3 linked regions of the Tamandua tetradactyla genome follow. The protein of the gene in region 1 interacts with the protein of each later gene in a biochemical or structural test. Links are inferred from orthologs where the notes say so. Each region holds a gene or a part of one and is shown on either strand. Other genes may lie near its edges.

What was found. The genes of interacting proteins can lie anywhere in the genome.
Region 2: the proteins of NRIP1 (region 1) and AHR form a complex in vitro, tested with the Homo sapiens proteins (2 studies listed by BioGRID). The link is inferred for Tamandua tetradactyla from reciprocal best matches to the Homo sapiens genes NRIP1 and AHR.
Region 3: the proteins of NRIP1 (region 1) and NR5A1 form a complex in vitro, tested with the Homo sapiens proteins (2 studies listed by BioGRID). The link is inferred for Tamandua tetradactyla from reciprocal best matches to the Homo sapiens genes NRIP1 and NR5A1.

What each region holds. Positions count from the first base shown.
Region 1 is NC_135336.1:72,551,615-72,559,424, forward strand, and holds the start of NRIP1 (nuclear receptor-interacting protein 1), read right to left. Parts: upstream 3,020-7,810; 5' UTR 2,763-3,019; intron 2,745-2,762; exon of another isoform or gene 2,626-2,744; intron 2,371-2,625; coding exon of another isoform or gene 2,051-2,370; exon of another isoform or gene 2,023-2,050; intron 1,964-2,022; exon of another isoform or gene 1,796-1,963; intron 1,649-1,795; exon of another isoform or gene 1,223-1,648; intron 1,210-1,222; exon of another isoform or gene 1,109-1,209; intron 1,093-1,108; exon of another isoform or gene 1-1,092. Other genes in the region: uncharacterized protein LOC143648536, read left to right, coding at 2,051-2,370, 3,182-3,212. UniProt on the Homo sapiens protein: Modulates transcriptional activation by steroid receptors such as NR3C1, NR3C2 and ESR1. Also modulates transcriptional repression by nuclear hormone receptors.
Region 2 is NC_135327.1:106,847,401-106,854,323, reverse strand, and holds the start of AHR (aryl hydrocarbon receptor), read left to right. Parts: upstream 1-3,913; 5' UTR 3,914-4,128; coding exon 4,129-4,193; intron 4,194-6,923. UniProt on the Homo sapiens protein: Ligand-activated transcription factor that enables cells to adapt to changing conditions by sensing compounds from the environment, diet, microbiome and cellular metabolism, and which plays important roles in development, immunity and cancer.
Region 3 is NC_135328.1:46,602,854-46,610,613, forward strand, and holds the start of NR5A1 (steroidogenic factor 1), read right to left. Parts: upstream 3,011-7,760; 5' UTR 2,888-3,010; exon of another isoform or gene 2,836-2,887; intron 1,438-2,835; exon of another isoform or gene 1,308-1,437; intron 1-1,307. UniProt on the Homo sapiens protein: Transcriptional activator. Essential for sexual differentiation and formation of the primary steroidogenic tissues. Binds to the Ad4 site found in the promoter region of steroidogenic P450 genes such as CYP11A, CYP11B and CYP21B.

The DNA.
Region 1 (7,810 bases):
AAATAAATAAGAATAAGGCACTTTTTAGGGTTAAGTTGGGAACGAGCTCTTTTCCCACTAGAGTCTGAAATAGACCAGTGCAACCCTGGAGAGTACTGGCTGTCCCATTCCTCCTTCTCCTTTGTCTCTAGAAGCTAAGTCAAGGCAGAGAAAAGGTAGTATTGGTGATGAAGTCACTGCTCTGTGTACCATTTAAACCTTACTTAGGTTACTAAACTTCCCAGCAAAACCAGAGAAAACTTACTTGGAAGTTGAAAAACATTTCAACACACTTTAGGCAGCCAAACCACACTGAAGTGCCGAGCAGATGAAGCACTATTTGTTTTAAAAGTCCACTTTATTTCTCTGTCTTTTCAACAAAGGTGGCAAAATGATGATTAAATATTAAATAATCTCATCAGAAAGATGCTACCGACTTGCTGAATCTATGATTCACTAATATGCAAGTTCAACGCAATTCATAACTTTAAGAATTCTTGATGAATGAATTACCAGAGCCCCTTGCATCACAAATTCCACAAGACATGTAAAGAACCGACATCATATATATAACCCGACAACCATATTTACTTGGGACACTTACAAAAGGTCTCCTTCTAAGGAAAATATTTCCCCCATAACCTCATGTTTAAACACCTACATTACCGGAGACAAAATACAGCTCAGTTCTACTAACTGAATTGAGTTATTGTACGTAGGAACGTCTTTATTCCCCACCACCACGAAAAAAAAGTCCCATAAAAAAATTTTTAAGTGCATATCATTCTGTTCTTTTACAAGCTTCAGAACCCAATTAAATTACCAACGTGATAAAAGATAGAAACTCCGGTAACGCTTCAGAGATCAACATGTGTCACACACTCCCAGTTTGTTCGTCTCTAAGACACAGTTGATTCCTTTGTTCCTTCAGACTGAACACCAACTCCTGATTAAAATTTGGAAACTACTTTGGAAAGGATGGGCGGGTGTGCAAAGTATTTCCAAGGAAACCCTTCATAAAACAACACTCATTAATAGGAGGAACACAAGGAAAGAGAAAAGGAGCTTCCCATATCCTCCCAAGCCCTCTAAGGGCTCACTCTATATGTGAACCCGGTTCTTGACTCACAAGTAAAATGATGGTTGAGGCCTGGTGTCCAAAGAGCCCTGGGCGGACGGAAAAGTAACGGGGACCGGGCCTGGGAGACGAAAGGGGCCAAGAGCTGTCCCTCTTCCTATTCACTTTTCGTGGCCCGGAATCTGGCGAGCACAGCTCAGGGAGGCACCAGGGCGAGAAGCGGGAGCTGTGCCCGGCGCCGCCCAGGGAGCCGCGGGGCAGCAGGACGAACAGCGGCGCGGCCAGAAGCGCCGGACACTCGTGGCCGAAGGGGCAACTGAGGGGAATACGACCCCGTCCGGGCGACCCGGCCACCCCGGCCCGTCACGGCGTGGGCGACACTCTGCCGCCCCCCCACGCCCGGCCCCGACCCAGGGCCAGTTTGGACGGGCTAGCGAACCCGGGTCCAACTCCCTAACTTGCCCGCCCTCGCTGCCCTGCCCCCCGAGTTCCCAGGGAGATTCGAGCCCCAAAAAGAGGCGGGATTTCCCCGGAAACAATTCCTCCTTGCCGCCAAGCCCACGTCGCGCCCGGAGTTCGCTCCAGCCGCCGGCCGCCCGCCGCCAGCCCTCGACGCCCCCGCGGCCCTACCGGGCCAGCGCCGCCGCCGCCGCCGCCGCCGCGGGCCGCGCTCCGAAGCCGTTTCCGGCGGCGCCGGTGGCGGCTCCTCTGAGCTCCCGGGCCGCAGTCGCCACTCACCCGAAGCCGCCACGGCTCCGTTAGGCTCACTCCACGAAGGCTCCCCGCCTCCCCGTCCTCCCTTCGCACCCCACCGAGCTCTTCCGTCCGACCAGCAGGGCTGCGGAGCACAGCGGCGGACGCAAGGCCACGGACGGGCGCGCGCGAGGGCGTGGGGCCGGGTGGTCCCTCCGCCTCGACCGCCGCCGCCTCCTCCGCCGCCGCCTCCTCCGCCGCCGCCGCCTCGCAGCCTCCCGAGTTCGGGGCTCTGCTGCAATGTCTGCGAGGCTGACTTTGAGCGCCTCGCTCGCTGCCCGCCCGCTCGCAACCGCGCTCCTCCCTCCGCCGCCGAGTCCGCCGTGGCCCAGTCCCTCCCCTCGCCGCTCCACGCCATTCAGCTCTTCAGCCAAGTTTCTTAACCCTTTTTTTCCCCTCCCTCCCATTGTCACCGGGGCAGAAGCTTGCCGCCCAGGTCCAGGCAGCTCGCAGGATCTTAGGAACCCCTCTGTTTTGTTTTCTTTTCTCCCGTCTTATGGATGGCCGAGCCGGGGCTCCAGAGCCGGGAGACAGCGGGAGGATCGCGTCTGCCGGAAGAGGTGGGTGCTCTGCGCGCCCGAGTCGGCCCCCTGGGCGCACGACCCTGTCCAGCCACCCCCGACCGCCACAGTAGTCTGGACAGCTCCTCGCCGGGGCCTGGGGTATCGTTCTCGTTACACTGGCCAGATGGTTCACGTTTGGGGCACAGCCTGGGTGCCAGGGCTGCTGGCGCCTTATGGTTCTCTCTCCTCCCATTTCACCCACAACACGCGTTCCCTTGGCTCCCTTTCACCCACCCTCCAACTTCCACCTACTTGTAATTTGTGTGTCCTGCCTTCATCTTGTGGGACACGAGCACTAACTCTGGATCACTTTGACCCCACTCCCAAGATATAAGAGGCACCCAAAAATAAATGTGGAGTGACTCCGATAGAAAAACTAGGAAGAAGACCTGAGGAGTATCCTTTCAGCTCCCTGGACGGACGTAGGACCCAGAAGCAGGGCTTATCTTCAGCTGCTTTGTCACTATGTAGTCTCCAACAGAGTCTGTCAGCGAATCTACATCATCCCCGGAAAGGATTTGACCCATAAGACAAGGCAAAAGAAATAGGGCTGCCACTTCTTCTGCAGCTCTCTTCTGTTCAGTCTCCGAATAAGAAATAACAATTACATCACAAGGCCGGGGCGGCAGCGCTGTGAAGCCTCTGGGTTTCCTGCAGACTAATCTCGCTGAACCCGCCTCTAAATTGGGGGTGGGAGGAAAGGAGGTGGGGGGAGGGGGGTGTTAGACTGGTGAAGCGAAAAAGTGAAGGAAGGAGTGTCATGTATAAAACCATAATTTCTTCTTTTCCTTGTATTTTCTGTTTTCAGATCTTATCCTCAACGCTCCGCAAACATCTAACTATAACTATTAACACCCCCTCAACACCTCCCCAGATGTCAGGTTTCTTTTTGACTCTAGCATTTAGTAACTTGCCATGAAAATATTCTCAGGGGAAATGAGTGCCGTTACTGAAATTATTTTTCCTTGACACAAAAATGCTGAAGTACAGCTTAGCCTCACCCTAAAACTCCCAAATGGTATATGCCTGTATTAAAACACTTCTTAAACAAAACAAGTAAGTGGATGAAGCACTAAACTCTTAAATGTAGGTGTTCACATCCTTAGGAATTGATAGCATTTGAAAGCAGAGTTGCTAGCGCACTTAGAAAAAAAAAACCTATCCAAGTCATAAATCAGTATTCTATGCCTGTTATGTAATGGCTGCATTGTACAATTAAAATTTCCTTTAACATTTAAAGCTGTGAATGAGAGTTTGAAAATACCTTCACGATCTTGAAATCAAAACTAATTTTTAAAATTAATGCTTATTGAACCCGACAGCTACCACAGTGCCCAACACATAGTAGGAATGTTTTGCTCGATGGTAATGGGGCTTTTTAGAACAATAATTTTACATGACCCAGGTAATTCAACCACAAAATCCTTTGCCATCTTATACAGTTTAAAACTCATGTAATAGCTTATTATTTGCATTTGCCACAGTTCAGAATCTGCTCAAAGTAATTTACTTTAAAAGTCTGTTGTTCTATAAGACATTATTTATACAAGATTAATGCCAAATAGACTGTTGTAGTAAGTAATGATCAGCAAAATTGGAACTTGGCCCTTTAAGAGAGCAAACTTCTTTAAAAAAAATTTTATTTAATTGTTATATAAAGATTTTCTAAAATGCGTTGTGCTTATTTTTGCTTTCTTAAGGAGTTTATTGGATTTGATTTGGCATTTTCTTGAAAATCCAGGTTATATTAAAATTAATTATTGTAGATGGTAGTGGGCTTCACAAATACATCATGTTTCTTTTCTATATTAGGCTTCTTCCTAGCAGATAATGGTCCCAGGAACTAAAAAGTATATAAGGCACCAACTCCTGCACTGAAGGTCTCTAGAATTCTATGGCTCAGTAATTATATCTGCCTTTTGTAGTTTCTCTCTCTCCTCCATTCACTAACTGACAATCTGTTGTCCTTTCTGTTGCCAGCGTGTTGGCCTCTAACATTCCTCTCCTCTCCTGATTGGCAGCTTTTAGTCTGGTGCAAACTGAGGATACCGATAGCCTCACTGTCACAATTCTGTTTAAAGTCAAACTAAATAGGTTCTGCATAAGTGACTAATGTACTCAGTGTGTAAGGCACTGAGTACATTGTGAGTAGGGCACATTCACTTTAGCTCATGGACTTTGGGACAGGTGTTTGGACATCTCAAACGTTGCTTTTGAAAACAGTTATTTTGCTCCTAAAGAGTTTTAGATCATTGGGATTGTATGACTTCTTAATAAGCGAGGGTACACAATTAACTCAACAAGCCAAGTATTAATCCTGTCCTCTAATACGAGTTAAAAACCACTACCAAATGCTAGACGACTTAACAAAGGGGGTGCAGAAGTTGCTCACCTCTTGTTATTAATCTTTTTTCTCAACCCCAACAGAAATCCAATCATTAAAATCCTGAACTCTATTTGATCATGCATTAGTGTTAAGTAAATTGCACACCTTTTGTGAAATTCATTTTTATTTAATCATGCCAGTTGTGTTAGGGCTATTTTGTTGTTCTTTAAAAAAAAATCAGTATCTAAATTTGCTGGCTTAGAGGGTCATCAGAGGGATACTAGGGCATGTATATGTGTACAACATAGGAATGCCTATTCAGTAATTTGTGTTTTTTGGCATGGGCAGGTTCCGGGAATTGAACCTGGGTCTCCAGCATAGCAGGCGAGAGTTATGCCACTGAGCCACCATTGCACCACCCAGTTATTTGTATTTTGAAGCCAATTCTCATATTAATAAATTGTGATGTATAAAAGATGCCTTGCCATTTATATACTTAAACACAGAAGTATTTTTATAAATCCTTTGGGATCCAACATATAAAGTTCAGGCTCAATTTGCCTACCCACCACAAAGATGTAGTCTGGGTAAGGTATGACTCTGAAGTGCTTCCTAAATCTCTCCTGTTATAGCACTTATCACACACAGTGTGTAATTGGGTGTTTATTTGTCTGTATCTCACTCTAGAATGCAAGCAGTATAGGTGTAAGGTCCATATCCCTCTCATACTACCACCACCTGTCACTATGCTGGGCAAACAATAGGCATTCAGAAAATACTGTTCAAGATCTTTTGTAGCCCAGAGGGCAGTGTTTAATTCTACTTGGAATATGGGTGTAGGGCTAGGGCATTCAAGTAAATTTTATAGAGAAATAATGCTTCTGTTGGAGATTAAAAAGATAGGAAGAATTTGCCAATTAGTCTAAGGGGAATGGGGATTCTCAGGAGAAGAAGTAGGTTGTTTAGCAATAACCCTGAGAATTTTTTAACCCATATCATACACTATGGAATAAAGTATGATACCATAGGAAAAATACATATAAATGTAACTAGATAATATACGGGTGGAACACTGGTGTAATTATGCTATAGTTAAAGTGCCTTAGCCTTTAGAGCACTGCTGCCCAGTAAAATAATACAAGCCACTAATATGAGCTATGTATGTATGGTAGCCATATTTTAAAAATTGAAAACAAACCAATAAAGTTTATTTTACTAATGTACTCTATGTACCGAGTGTAACCAAAATAGTATCATTTAATGTGTAATCAACATAAATATTAGATATTTTACAACCTTTTCATACTGTCTTCTACCATCTTTTGTATTGAGTAAAAATCCAATGTGTATTTTACACTCACAGCACACATCAATTTGTACTAGCCATTCAAATGCTCAATAGCCACATGTGGCTAGTGGCTATCTTTTGGACAGTGCAGCTCCAGAGAACTTGTGAAATCTTTAACTAGGTACAGTGAAAGAAAATTTTCTCTTGTTAAGTTTTAGATTTTTGTGTGTGCCCATTACTGGTGTTTTTGCTACTTTATGAAGACCATTTTCTTGTGCCTGGGCTTTTATGCCAGTTAGACAGTCAGCAAGGTTTACATTTTATGCACTGTATCTTTATTAATCGTACTGTAGTCACAACTCCTACCTCTATTAACTATGGATTGTAAATGTAAACTGATTTTACAGAAAAAATAAGAAGCTTTACATTTTAGGTTGAATAAGCTTTAAAAAGTCTTTCTTAGAACATAGAACTACCTCTTTGCTGGTTACTATCAAACATCTCCCTAGCTTTAGAAAGCTAGGGTTTTTCTCTTTAACTGTTCCATGTCTTTATTTGGGGATGACAAAATCCACCCCAGCCTTTGTTCGAGGCAGCCACCTACTTCAAGATGCAGTGAAGATGTGCTGCAGCCTCCTGAGCATTTAGGGAGGTCTAAAGAGCAAAAATGAAGATATTTTGACACTCTGCAGCTTACTGTGCAGCTTTCCCTTTTTATTTTAATTTGGGCCTTAGTGCCAACTAATGAGAGTGGAGGCCTTTTTATTTTAGGTTAGGCCTTAGTGCCAAGGATTGACAATAGCAGAGTGCTCAATTTCTATGCTAAAATGAATCCTGAAAACTAAGGTTAAGTTTAAAAGAAAAAAAATCGTAAATGATTGCAAAAAAAGCAGTTGAAACTGCAAGGGAACAACAGATACTTCAATGAAATGCAAATATGGATGTTACCTTCTCATTTCCCAAATTAAGAAAATGTCTAGTATAGTCAAGAGGTCCAAAAAGCCAAGAAATCCCAAGGAAGTTAAGGAAAACCTTTGATAATGTATCAGTTTTAATATGTCTTAGCAATTGAAAGTAAATATGTGGAACCTATCCTTTTTATACAGAAATGGGATTAAGTAGATATCATTAAGTAGTTCTGTCATAAATGAATGCAAAAGTTTTTCCTCAGGACTTCACAAACACACATCCATATAACTAATCAATTAGATAAAAATATGAGCCTATTAATTATTAGAGGTTTTATTCGAATAGCTTTCAACTAGAGCAAAATACATATTTGTTTTCTCAAATTAATTAGGGTTTCTGTAGTGAATGTGATGTATGTTTACTAATTGTTTTACTCTTTCAAACGAAATAGACATTAGATTAAAGGTAAGACATATTTGTTTTAGATTTTACTATTTGGCTTAAGAAACAGAAAATAGCTATATAGTTTATCTTTGCACGAAACCAAATCAAAATTATCACCCCAACACTACCCACCCCCACTACCACGCCCAACACACACACACTCACACAACCTAAGATTTCAAACAATTCAGCGGGGAAGAATCATCCGTTCAACCAATGATGCTTGGACAGCTAGATATCCACATGAGAAGAAATAAATCTGACGCTCCAGACAATATGACGAGCAGTCTCACCACCCTCCCCCTCTCTGCGTGGGACATGACTCCCAAGGGTGTGGACCTTCCTGGCAACGTGGGACAAAGATCCTGGAATGAGCTGACACTCAGCATCAAAGGACTGAGAAAAACCCTAGAATGAGCTGAGAATTAACATCAAGGAATTGAGAGAAACTTCTCGACCAAAAGGGGGAA
Region 2 (6,923 bases), on another chromosome or scaffold:
TTTTAAATATGCATAAAATCATGTAGTCTTTTAAAGTTTAGCAAATCTAAATTACATACTTTAGGTCAGAGTTTCACAAAAATTTACATTTCTTTAGGCTTTTCTTATAAAGTCGTAATTTTCTCTTTTTCTCAATAGTTTTTCCTTAATCTAAATGCATTTAATCTTCATTACAGTTTATTCTGCTTATGATTTAAAGTGAAAAAATTTATGTATATAGTGTTATGTAGATCCTAATTGTATTTATCCCAATTGCTACATGGCTTTAAATAAAAAAAGACATATATATATATGAGAGACATAAATTATTTAATAAAATGTTTAATAAATGAGATAGGACTTTTAGCTTCATTTTTTTCATAATCTTTCCCTTAATGAAATTTCACATTTATAAGAACAGAAAGTCCAGAAAGCAAAAATCAAAATCTAAGTAAGCCTAAATTGTATTAACTTTAATAGAGTGTTCTTTTATGTGTTAGTCTTGATGTTTCTTATGACAAAGTGTTATCCTTGATAAATTTTACTTTGACTAGTAACAAAATATCCCTATTTTTTATTGAGGTTTCCTTGTCAGTTTTAGCATTGACATTAGTCTAAAAGGTATTTCCAAAGTTCTTCACACCTGTTAATTACTTGTTTGGTTCTTTTGAGTAGGACATTTTTGTAGACTAGTCAAGTAACTCAGGAAGGCATTATGCATTTAAAAATAGCCTTTAGAAACAGCCCCTAGTCTGTTCTTCAGTGCTAGAGTAGAAAAAAAAGTGATGAATAAATGAAATTATTTTAAAGAAATAAGATAGTTCCAGCTGAGATAAGATATATATTTTAGATTGAAACAGGAGTTTACAAGAACTGGATTCTATTCTGGGTGTGATCCACAGGCCACTACACCCATCTGGGCCTGACATTTCTCATCTGTTAAATGAAAGGTTTAGCTATGCCTAAATTTCTATAGCTTTCTCAGTTTGGTGTCTCAGTAATTCTTCCATGTTGTCACAGACTAAAAGAAATCAGACTCAACAATTGCACTTAAGTGCAAGTTAAGTTCAAGATTACATATGTTTCTCCTAATAACTTAGTGGCTATTTGAAGAAATATATGTACCCTTTTAAAAAAACAATATTTTATTTTAGTCTTAACGGGATGTGTGTGTCTGATGGGTACTACATATCTTCCAAAACCCTGCAGTCAGGTTGGAAATCAACATCTTCATTTTCTGTCCCACATTGATTTTTCCAGTCCTTGCATTTTATCACAGCTAGTTACAACAGCCCATCTAGATATGATTTCATCGAGAGGAATGAGGAACCATTTAACGTTGGAGCTGTGAACCACCTCTTGCCAGGGGTTTACATGGTATCCAATTGTTGCTCAGTATCACTGAGTTTCCCTTGAAAATTTAAAATATTCCAAGATGGTACTCCCAGGGCACTGGGTACGGTTTGGGAAGCATGGGGTTATGCTCTCTAAAGTACGTTATACACCACAGAATATAAGTAAAAAAGATAATTCTGAAGGCCTGGAATAAAGAGCTGCAGGAATGAAGAGGAAGTGAAAATTCTACTTAGCGTCCTGATTGCATGAATCTCTTCCCCTGCCCACTACTCCCACAAGATGTCTCATTATGCTTCGGATCTCAGCTCAATCCTCTTCTAGGCAGCTTCCCCTAAGTCATATCTCCCAATTACACATTCTTATCGTGCTCGTACAACACTTATTATTATTGCAATTACGCATTTATTTGTGTATTATTTGATCAATTCTAGTTTCTCCGATTAGAATATAACACTGAGAGGGTTATCTCTGATATTTCCATTGTATCCCACAGCATCTGGCACTGGACACCTTGCTGAATGAAATCAAAGTACTGTGATAAAACAGGTTTCACATTCTTTTTTACCCCCTTTATTCTAAAACAACTGTTATCTATAAAAGTATTCCTGAAATTTACTTCTTTTTCTCAGTCTAACAGGAAAATGGAACCCAAACATAATCTGTATCTGAAACCTCAGAAAATAATCACAAAACTAATTAGAAGGATGGCGTTGCTTTGGATAAGGCAGTCAAATATTCATGAAGTCTTTTAAGCAAATTACTCATTATAAGAAAAAATCATATTACTATCCAAAAACTGCCTATGGAAACTTCAAAAATCTTAGGGGATGGCTACAAACCATACTTTTAGCTAAAAGAAATGCTTTCAATTTTTTGATGCACTCAGTTTGAGGTTACAAATTTACTTGTCGAAATGGCTTGAAGGCATTTGAACTATAGGAATAGATATGTGAGATGCCATTTAGGCATCCTAATCTGCATACCCTTCTCTGTGCCCACTATCTTGGCTAGCAGCACCTACAGAAATTGTGGATGCCAGCCTCGAGTGCGCTCTTACCCCCTATTTCTTTATCCTTTCTATCTTCATCTGTGTTTTTTCTCTTCTCTCCATCCCACCTGCTACTTGCCTGGACTTTTACTTCAACTATTTCAACAACTACCCAACTACTCTCTTTGATTCTAATCTTTATAATCCAGCTTTCATCTTCATCCCAGAGCAGTTTTCTAAAACACCAGAATGCAATCCCTTGCTAAATATATTTTAAAAGATTCCATTGCCTACAAAATAAATTTTAAACTCTTCATCAAAGCTTTATGAATTAATCCCCAAATCTCTGAACAGCATGCCCAGCTCCTCTCTCCCTCTGTCCCAATTAGAACAGACTGCTACTTATTCCCAACACTTCCTGCCCTAAGTGCTTCCCCATTTCCTTTCTTCCACTAACCTTACTGAAACCTGACCTTGGAATAAGTTATCCTGATATTATACTGAGAAGTGTGGAGACAAATTGTTAAAAAAAAAAAAAAACAACGAAGACGACAAAAAAAAAAAAAAAAAAAAAAAAAACCTGCTGCAAAAATTCCTAGCCTTCAAGTCTAAACTCAGAAGTGACCTTCTAAAGTCTTCCCAAGTAGAACAATTTAAGCAGTCCTACTGGTTATCTTTCAATTCACTGTAATTCTCAGTCAAAAGTTACTCTTTCTCAAACAGGTGAAGTTAAACTCACTATTTGATATCGTGTAGCTACAGAAAGCTTGGCTACACGTAACTTGTTGTCACACCCTTTCCCCACCTGGAAATAGGTCCACAGAGGAAACCTCTTCTTGACCTCACCAAAATGGCAACTGAAGGGCGTCATTGCGTCTGACGTCATTACGCTCAGGAGGGTGGGGACCCTCCAGGGAAAGAGCCTGACAGGGAGGAGTCGAGGCTGGCAGGGCGGGACCGCGATGGGAGGGGCGGCGGCCGTGAGGGGTCTCAGGCCTTCTGCTCTCCTGCCAGCGCGCGCCACTGGAAGCGGCGCGGGCAGAGTGCGCTGGACGCTTGGTACCGACGGCGAGCCCAGACCCGCGAGCTGAAGGTAGGGGCAGCCGAGCGGCCGAGCGGAAGCTGGTGACCACCGGGACTGGCGGCTGGCGCCGGATTCCGCGGGCGGGGAAGCCCCGGAGCAGCGCGGCGGCGCCTGTTCTCACCCGCGGGGGCGCGGAGCCGGTCACGGGGCGCGGCGGCACCGCGCACGACCCAGGCCAGGCACCCAAGCAGCTGGCCCGGGCTCCTCCTGCGCCCGGGCTGTCTCACCTGCGGCCGCCCCGCCCACGCCGGTATAGGCGGCACCTGCGCCCCTCGCCCCGCGCGCCAGGCCCGGGCGCCCCGCGCTGCCGCGGCGCACCTGGAAGCGCCAGGGCTGCGGGAGCCGCGGGGCACCTGGAAAGGCCGGGGCTGTGGGAGCCGCGGCTCGCCTGGAAGGGCCTGGGCTGCGGGAGCCGCGGCTCACCTGGAAGCTCCCGGGCTGCGGGAGCCGAGGCGCACTTGGAAGGGTCCGGGCTGCTGGAGTCGCGGCGCACCTAGAAGGGCCCGGGCTGCGGGAGCCGAGGCGCACCTGGAAGGGTCTGGGCTGCTGGAGCCGCCGCACACCTGGAAGCGCCGGGGCTGCGGGAGCCGAGGCCCCAGCTTCCGCGCGGGAGGACGCAGGTGGAGCCGGCGCGTCTTCTCGGAATCCAGCGCGGGCGGCCGGCTCGCCCGGAGCAACGCGGGGCGCAAGGACGTCGGAGGGCCGCCGCTGGCCGGGCACCATGAACGGCAACAGCGCCAACATCACCTATGCCAGTCGCAAGCGGCGAAAACCGGTGCAGAAAACGTGAGTGTTCGGGGCGGCATCCTCGGGGGAGTGGGGGTGGAGGGGGCTGGAAGGCGCGTGGGGTCCGGCTGGCACCTCTGGGAGGGGCCCGCCCCCACACCCCCGCGTTTCGGGCGTTAGGTGGTATTTCCAACACAGCCGATAGAATCCAGATTTGAAGGTCGGTCGAGAGACTCGGACTTTTTAAATTTTTAATTAAGTTAAGAAATTGTCCCTTCTGACACCAGTGCCGAGCCCACCCACACCCCACCCCTTCACAGCTCTATTCTCCCTTCTGCGGTCCCAATTTGTGGACAGCTCTGGCCTTCCCTGTGCTGCTGGTGGATTAGCTAGCATAAATCTGCTCGAAATCCTCTTCTTATTTTAATGTCCGCATCGGTTAGAGAAGACGACTGTCATAATTCCCAATCTTGGAAAAGACAGACATCTGGGTAGGGCGAGGAGTTTTAAAGAGCTTAAAACGTGCCGTTTTGAAGCTGATTTTAGGGGGCTAGAGCGTCTGGGTTTCTGTTGAGCAGTTTTATTTATTTGATTGTCATTTTGTAGCGTCCAGCGTGCCTATAGATAGGTAAAGAGAGTAGTAAGGTTTGGTGTCAGGTGTGAGTGGTGCAATGGGGAATTGAATTCGTAGTCACGTTTTTGGGAAGCTTTGCCATCACTTGTGAGGTGCATTTGCAGTCTGTAAAGTGAAATATATGGAGCTGTATTTAAGAGAGTCGTTTTCATTCTTAGTACCTTCCTCTAGTTCCCTTTCTTCCCTACCTCCAAGCTTTTTCAATTCTAGTAGAGTGATTCCAGACTTGGATGGGAGTCATGGGAAGCGGCATATTTGTATGAGATGGCAAGTACTTTAAAATAGTGTTTAAAAAAAAATTGCGACAGATTTCCTTTTATCAGTTTCCAGTGTCGATTCCTAATTATAATCTGAGTTACTTTAATTCATCTATATTTTAAAATTTTTTATAAACTATTTTAAAAGCCCATTAAACGTCTGTTCAGTACATCAAAAATATGTATTTTGTTTAAAACTTTAGTTGGTAATGCCAATAGAGAAATAACAGTTTAAGATTTGCATTTGAAACTAATTATTGGTTGAAGATTTCATCATTCTAAAGTTTTAATTTCCTCTTAGATTTTCTGTGATCTTAGTGCCTCAAATCTAGACAAAGAAATTGGCATTAACAAAGGATATTGGACCGTCTATAAATAGACTGATTAAAATCCAAAAGTCTTATTTATCCTCTGTGTCTGACATTAGGTATATTGCTGAGTCAGCAGTTACTGTCTGGGTTACAGAACAGCGCATTTTGTGAAATAGCTTCTTATGTAAAATTATTTGTCCAATTTAACTTTGTTCTTGATGATTAAGTTTGGAAATATCCAAAATGCCTGTCCATGAGGCTGCTAATATAATACCATCCTTAGCTTATCATATAATAGAGTATCATGAGTTTTATGTGTGTGATCAGAAAATCTGACAGACTCCCTGATGGATTTTTAAGATATGAATTTCAGTCAGTGTGTTACAGAATGACACACCTGGCTTATTATTATTGTTATTAAATGCCTTAATTTTATATTCATTATGGAAGGCAACGTTATTAATTTATAGTTAATATTTTATTAGTTTTCCTTTTGTATTAATTTTTCCTTTTACTTGTATAATATGGACGCTTTATTATAATCTCCTAATATTTAACATACTTCCTAAGACTTTACTATACCTTATTTAGTAATTTCTTGTAATTCAGTATAACTAAAGCATTTTTCCTCATTCACCCTCATTTAGTTAGTATAGATGGCTGTCAGATCTTTACTGAACATCATGCATTACTTCTAATCATATGAATGCCTTAAAATATCATTTATTAAGGAAAGCCTAGTGCTAGCATTTACATGCTCAAGTGAAATGGTTTGCAAACTTCTACCTAGATGAAAAAGTTAACTTTATAATGGAGTTAATCAAAGGGAACTTTGATTTAGGAGTGAGGCCATTAAACCTAATCCTAAGTTTAATGTAATTTTTTTAGTTAAATTATTAGTTTGTGGCTAATGGGGTGTAAAACGTGTCAGCATTCCCACAGAAAAAATCCATCTTGTTCGGCTGACAATACTCTCCAGATCTTCTTAGCTTTGACTCCTTAAGTGATAACCATTTTACTTTTCTTGCATAGAAAATATGTTGTTTAGCACAATTATAAGACTGTTGAAAAACAGTTATTTAAATTTACAGTTCCATAAAATTTGGGGATAGAGTAAGAGACATAATTTTATCCTGAAGCTCTTCCAGCCTTCAATTCAATTTATTAAACAAAATAAACTCCCCCTAGTGGCAGGTCTAACATGGACAATTACCTTTATTAGTAGGAAATACATTTTAAGTGTGTTTAATTTAATCCTATTAAAGTATCTTTTACGTTGTAGATATTCAATAAATGTTTCTTTTCTCTTTGGAGTAGTGGTAATTAGGGAATTGAAGGGTCAGAAGCAAAGTTGAAGAAAGCATCTGATTCATGTTCCTGCCTTCACAAAGAAATTTTCAAAGAGAACCTCAGTAATAGATTGTCCTGTAGCTTTCCGTAGAACATTATTCCAATACTAATAACCTTGCTTGTTTTATTGAGTTTGGAGATAAAGGTGTTATTTATTTATTGTTTATTTTGTTTCATGAAGTCCACTATTGAATATAAATAGAACCAGCTTTTCTACTGTGATATTAACTCAGGACAT
Region 3 (7,760 bases), on another chromosome or scaffold:
TGCCAGATGCAGGGAATGGCAAGGCCCTAATACAAAATTGCCTCCTATGGGCCAGGGCTGCTACTAACCACTCTACACCTGTGGTCAATCTTGAGCCCTCTCCATCATCCTAGGAGGTAAGTAGTTTTCCCTTCACCTCCCAAAGTAACATTTGAGAGATGAGGCAACTTGGCCCCAGAGAGATGAGGCTGCGACCCAGAGTCACAAAGCAGGGGAGTGGTGGGAACAGGATTCAAATCCACACAGTGGAGTCCAGAGCCTAGACTTGCAGACTCTGAGTGCTCCTGGCTCTCTAAGAGCCCCTGGGTGGCCTATTTGCCCTCTCTTTCAAGCTCCAGCCCAGGTGGTCCCGGGCCACAAGACCCCCGGGAGGAGGAGGAAAAGGGATGTAGTCCTGACCGAGGCTTCCCGCCTGCCTCCCTCCCCAGGAAAACAAAGCCCAGGGTCTCTTTCCTAAGTGGGGACTTTCCCAACGTGCCAGGCCTATTTCCTGGAGGTAGAACAAGGAACAAACAAACCTGAGACCAAGAAACTGAAAGAGAGGGGAGAAATGGGTTGAGGTACAGTGTAGAAAGGAGATAGACTGAAAAAGAAAGAAGCCAGAAAATGAGAAAAGGAAACTGCACTGACAGCAAAAGAGACCCAGAGATGTTCAGAGCCTGGGAAAGAGAAGGAGAGAGAGAGAGCGAGAGAGAGAGAGACACTGAGGCAGAAAATGAAAAAAGAGAAAGGGGTAGGGGTCCAGAGAGCTGGAAGCAGAGGGAGTGTGGAGACCCTGTGCCGGGCAGAGGAGGGGGTGGGCCTGCTGGCAGCAGCAGAGGCTGTTTCCGCTGTACCCCTTATCAGCCTGCTGCCAGATGTTCAGATCCGATGCCAATGTCAGAGAAGTCCATAGTGCCGGGTCAAGGCCGTGGCCGCGGGAGCCTCAGCTGCAGTGTGGGGAGGGGGGCCAGGGGCCTGCAATGGACCTGCTCAGTCTTCCCCCTCCACCTTTTGGCTCTCTGGCTGGACCACCTGGTGGGGGTGGGGAAGACCAGGTGCCTCTGGGAGCCACTTCTCCAGACAGAGAGTAGAGACTTGGGGGAGGCAGAGTGGAACTCCTGGCAACAAATGGACACATACATCTTTGTACAGCCCCACATGAGAGGAAGCACATGGACACATGCCCAAGACACACACGAGTGCATATGAGTGCACAAAGCCAGGCGGGGACAACTCACAGATAGTGCTCCATCACTGCACCCCCTCTGCACCCCACAGCCTGCTGGAGCCTCTGTTCTGCATGATCAGCTCTATGGCCCTCTCACCTGAACCAGGGTTGCAGTTAGAGCTCTTTGCAGCTGGCAGGGTTTCCAGTGGCCACCCTCCTCCTCTGTGAACATGATACTCTCACAATCTGCATGCTTCTGAGGGCTGGGCCAAGGGACCCGGGACCCCCTGGAATAAGAGGCCTGGTGGAGATCCTCAGCAAGAACTGCAGGAGCTGCATGTCAGGCAGTGCTGGGGCTGCAGCCTTGGGATTGGGACTCTCCGCCATGCTCCCGGAGTGTGCAGCCACAGCTGGGGCTCCCTTCCTAGGGTAGCTTATCTCACCGTGCACACGCTTGGCCCTCAAGGGGTGACCCAGCCTTGCTCCCCACATTCCTCTTCAACCACGCAGCCGGTGGGCCCCCCACAGACATGAGACAGAGCCTGTGCTTGGGGGGTGTGCAGGAGCCGTCATTCAGAGCCCCACCCCCCACCCCAGGTCCCAGCCCTCTGCAGCCATCTCTGGGGTCTTGTCTTTCTTTCCTTTTTATCTCTGAGCATCTCTCCAGTTTTATCTGACCCCATGAATCTATGTCTGTCATTGTTTTGCCCCAATCTATCTTTTGGAATGTCTATTTCTTTCAGCTTGTTTCAGTCTCCCAGTCTGTCTCTCTTTGCTCTGTCTCTCTCTGGGGCCCTTAAGGGGGATTAAATCCGGGGGTATCACTGCTCTTCTTTTTGGCTCATAGTAGCTAGCCTCAGTGGGAACATATGAGAAATCAGTCTTGGGGTGGGCATGGGGGAGGGCCTGGGCAAATGGAGGTCTTAACTTGTAATTGGTGCCCTAGGCAGCCCTAGCAGTGCAGGCCCCCTTCCCACCCACCTGCTAAGAGTCAGTCCAGATACCGGACATTGATCAGAGCCTGGAGCTGGTGGGCTCCCTGGTATTGAGGAGAAGACTGAGGGGTAGGAGGAAGAAGCTGGAACTGGAGGTCTCCAGGCCTGAGGGCCTCCTTCCTGTTTGTAGGGAAGTGACTGCCTCAGAAAGCTGCTCAGGGGAGAGGAGGGAGGCCACAGTGACTTCCGGGAAGCTAGCCAAGGGCCCGAGGCCACCCTCCCTGTACCCACATGGGGCCCTCTGGCCCTGGCTTAAAATAGTGCAGTTCCTCCGCTGTTGCTGCTGGGCCCGGCCCAGCTCTCAAAGGGCTGCTGGCTGCTGGCTGCTGCTTATACTGCCAACCGTGGCCTGGGATGGAGGGGGACGCACCCAACTATGCAGTTCTTCCCCAGATTGAGGCTGAAGGCTGTGTGTTGGCAGTACGGGTGGGAGAGGGGGCATTGTAGGGAAAGCAGTTCATGGAGTTAGAAGCCTTAGATTAAAATCTCAGCTCCAATAATGATCAGCTGTGTAACTGAGATGGTCCATGCTGCCTTCCTGAGCCTCAGTTTCCATTTATGTAAGATAGGATGAGGGCTTGGCTTCCAACCTAAATAAGACCACCTATATAGGCTCCTCAGACCCTTGCCAGGCATAAAGTAGACATTCAGAAATTGGGAGTTCCCTTTGCCTCTTTTGCTAGATTGTACCTCAAACTCCTCACCCTGAGGAAGGGTCCTTGTAGCTTTCCTCAGTACCTACACTGTTCCTAGGACTAGGTGTTGAGCAGGGGAGGTCTGTGGAGAGGGAGTTTCCAGGGAGGGCAAGGATGGGACTTTGGTCTCCATGGTGAGACTTGTTGCCAAGGGAACAAAACTCCAAGAGCCCTGGGTCTGGCAGTTGGGCACTTTAGCCACAGCCCAGAGAGGCTGATTACCAACACTGTGGACCTAGAACCCTAATAGGCAACCAGGCTAACGGCAGGTCAAACTCTGCTGGATTTCTGCTTTTGGGGTGAGGGGCTGCAGCTCCCCTCACACAGCTTCCTCTTATGAATTGACTTCATTAAGCTCCTACTTTGAGCCAGCCATGGCCAATCCTCCTTAAACCCCTGAGACATAGGTACTGGCCTCTCTATTTATCTAATAGGGAAAGTGGCTCAGAGAAGTATCCACTGGATCCAGGTCATGTGTAACTAGTATGGGGGAAAAGCTGGGATTAGAACTCAGGTGGTAAGACCCCTGATAGATGTGCCTGCTGTCACATGAGTTGTCCGAGGGAAGTGATCCCTGGGAGAGGGCTCCATAGAACCACACCCAACCCCCAACCTCATTCCAACACTCTCCCCTGCCATCACTTCTGGTTTTCTTTTTTTTTTTTTTGTTCAATCTCTGGCATAACCCAGAGCTGCCAGCACACCCTGCTGCTTCTTCATTTACAGAGATGATCTTAATTTGCCTCACAGGGATTGCACAAGGATAAAGATCTTTGCACATATCCTGCCAAATAGTAGGTGATCAGTGCCAATTTATACTCATTCCTGAGGTCACACTAGCTATGTAGCCTTAGGCAAGTTGCTTAACCTTTGTGCGCCTCAGTTTTCTCATCTGCAAAATGGGATCATTATAGCACCAACTTCATTGGCTTACCTTAAAAAATCAGTAATCTAATGCACTTGAAATGCTCAGCCCATTGCTTTGCTTAGCTCACTCTGTATTAATTACTTTATTATTCATTTCTTCTAGATTATTGCCTGGCACTTGAGGGAACCAAAAACTCAGTGTTAGTTAAGTAGAAATTTATACATTAAGATTCCATGGAATATTGTCCCAATAGAATTTTCACAGCTATGCTAGGGGAAAAATGTTTCATGCTCAAAAAATGTTTTTGGTAGACCTTGGGTTAAACAAAATCAGTTTTTTTCAGTTAGGACCTCTCAGAGCCCTTACTATGTACCAATGAAAGTTGAGAGTCAATGAGCAGAAGATAAAGTTGAGCTGAACACTCATGGTTTGTTTACTTTTCCTTGTGGGTATTATACTTCAATAAAAAGTTTAAAAAATGGTCAAAAAAAAGAAGAGCAAGTGAAGTATTTCCCCAAATTTTGCCAATAGAACTCCTACTTATTTTTCCATGGAGCCACCTTTTGGTGTATGTTCTGAGAAGTCATATATTTGGGACAGCACTGCTTTTCAGCTCAATTTGGTTGGGTCTGTGCATCTACCCCTTACAGAAATTAATCTTTCGTTAGTTTAATAGAGTTTTGCTTAATAGCAAAAAGTTCAACCAAAGGCCATTACTGAGCTTTGTTACAAACTCCAGACGTCCATATTCAGCACTACTGAATTGCTAAGGCTGAGCAGGGAGGCTGCCTTGTTGTAACTTTGCTATCAGATAGACCTGGATTCAAAAGTCAATTCTGCCATTTAGTCATGTGTCATTTTTGGCAAATGGCTTAACTTCCTCAAGCCTCAATTTGTTTATGAATAAAATGGGGCTAAGACCTAACCCTTGCAAGGTTATGAGGATTACATGAGATAATGCACATAAAGCACTAACCATGGTGCCTGGTACTTTATAGGCACTCAGCAAATGTGTTCCCCCCTCTCCTTGTACCTCTGTGTCTTATGTTTACTTTTTGTGGGGCAAGGAAGAGTCTATTAATAATTCTGCAGTGTTTTCTTTGTCTTAAAACTATCGCTTTCAAACCTCAAGGGCTCTCTGACTCCTTTGTGCTAGAGGCTGAGGTTTGGGAAGGCAGCTGGGCTTCCCCTCATTCCACATGGTTTAATACACTTTGATCATACTCTCTTCATACTTATCTTCCCAGACTGAGAAGCCTTCATCTTTCCCATCTGTCTTCACACAATTCTCATCCCTAGTCTGCCCCTTGTCTGATCACATGAGCAGCAGGGTTACAGGAATGTTGGGAAGATCTGGGTTCAAGTCCTAACTGTGCCACTTTCTGTGTGACTTTGGGCAAGTCCCTTAACCTCTCAGAGCCTTTATGATTTCAGCCATAGAAAAAGTATTAATAAACGCCATCCTTTTTGTAGAAAGATAACTATTAATCTGCTGGACTGCTGTCACTGATGTGTGCAGCTCTTTCCTGAGACTTAGCAGATGGTTTTTTCCCTAAACCCCTGAATGTGGCATTTGAAGCTTCAATTTGCTTGATACGCACTAATCCCCACATTCTGTTACCACTCTTGCTGCTGCAGTCCCTTGCTATATCTGATTGCTCCATATATGTATATATTCTTGGGGGCTGGGGGTGCATGGCCAGGGAATTGAACCAGGGTCTCCCGCATGGAAGGCGAGCATTCTACCACTGAACTACCCTGAATACTCCATATATTTTTTACTTACAACTGGACCTTTGCATATATTGTTGGTTCCTTTACCTGCCTTACCTTTCCCTTTTTGTCTGGTTACTTTCTTCTAGGCTCACCTTCAATAATATTCATCTGTGAAACCCTTCTTGACTATCCTGAGTAGAACAATGCACTCTCTCCTCCAGGTCCTACAACCCACATACATCCCTAACTGCAACCCCGATTCCACTGTACTGCATAGGTCTGGGTTTGCCTCTCCCAGTAGACTCAGTTCCTCTAGCTGTGCCACTTTCTGGCTGGGTTACCATGGGAGAGTCCCTCCACCTCTTGACCTCATTTCTTCACTTATAGAATAGTTAGTAATTCTAGAGATTCAAAGAGGTTCAGATCTGTGAAAAATTCTAGCACTGGGCCTGGTACACAGTCAGTGCTAGTTCATTGATTTAAGAAGTTCTTAGAGAGGCATCCCTTCTGCCAAACCCTCAGCAATAAGGATTGTGGTAGGTTTCATCTCTAAGAGGAGCCGTAGGTCTGAAGGTATGAGCTAATTGCTTGGGATACCCCATCATCCCTCCCCAGAACCTTAGATAAGACAGATGCCATGTGTAGAAGGATTCACATTTATTGGTTCAAATACAGTACCTAACACTTCTAAACATGCATTTATACTAATTGGTCACATTTCCACAGGTAGTCAATTCACAGAACAGGGCCCATCCCTTGCCAGCTGGCAGGGTGGGAGGTAGCAGAGGGCCTGGGTAGCCCACAGAGCCCACCAACTATCATTTAGTTATGCATGGTTGATGGAGCCAGGCTGGGGCAGCCCTTGGCCAGCCCTTTGGGGACAAGGGCTCAGAGACATCCCATTTACTCGATTCCTACACAGGACTGTGGGTAGAGGCAAGCCTGGAGAAGCCCAGGGGCAGGCTCGTGGATGCATGTGCCACCAGATCCCCCAAGGATGGAGTTTGTGGGAGGTGGTGTTCCCTATGCCATGGAACACAGGAAGAAAATGGAGGCCTTTTCAAGGGAGTGGCTAGTCCCTGGTTGGCAGGTGGGAAGGACTCCCCAGACATGGCCCAGACATTACAATGCAGCCACAAGGCCCTATCGCAGACCTGGGATGGCAACACAGACAAAAACACCAGCACCCCAGGGCAGGCAGGCTTTCTTTCCCGACAGAAACATGTAAACAGAACAGGAGTTACAGTGTTCTTTTCCCACAGAATTCTTCAGAGAAGAATCGACCAGGATGTTACTCAAGAGGTAGTTTTTTTTCATGGAAATTTGAGTTCAACATTATCACCTAATACAAGACATTTCAGAGTAAGAAAACAATAGTCACCAAAAGACAAAGATGATCCTTTGGTTGGTAGGACTGGCTCCAGGATTTGGAAGACTAGCCTCCACCATTAATTCAACTTTTTTCTTGGGCTTGCAGCAGGCTCTGGCCTGAGTCACAGCTTCCCTTTTAGGCCCACGGTGGGTTCCTGAGCAGGCCATGGCCCATTTAGGCTGCAGGCTTGAAAAGGGAGGCCAGGTGGAAAGTGGACTGATTAGAGGAACCAGGCTTCTTATGAGCTGGTAGAGGCAGGGCTACCATGGCTCTTGTTGTGGGATAGCTAGAAGTCTTAAAGTCTCCAAGTCCCCAGGTCTGGCCAGACAGGAAGTCCCAGCAGGCTCTCTGGCCAGAGGAGGGGGCTCCTGCCTCTGAAGAAAACCAGGTCTGGCTCCCAAGCCCAGAAAAGAAGCTGTTGCCTGTGGCAGCCGAGAGGGGATTTCTGGGGACCCTGTAATTAAATACACATCCCTGAGCTGTGGCCCTAGAAACCCTTGCTTCAAGGCTAACCAGTTTCTAGCATCTGGTGGAATGATTGCCGTTTCTCATCCTGAGACACAGATAAAACATCATATCACACACTGGACATAGATGCTTCAAGCAGAGAAAAAAAGGGAGGAACGATAAACTGCAAAGGCAGAAGGGAGTGCGGGGAGACTCTTGTGGGGAGAATCTTGTGGGGGGGAGTAAGAGTAGTGTTTTTTTTTTTTGTATTTTTCCTTTTAAAAAAATCAATAAAGAAAATTCAAAGTGTAATAAAAGGGCAAGTCTGAAAAGACTGGATTTCTTAAAACAATTATAAAACTTTAAACAACAACAACAACAAAAATATATAGACCAGGGTCCAGAGCTAAAGTCTTGGAACCATGTTCAACTGCCTGCCCAGCTGGGAGGCCAGTGCTCACTTTACTTTGGCTAACCTTGGACACGGCTTAGATGTTGCCCATGCTGGGTTTGTCTT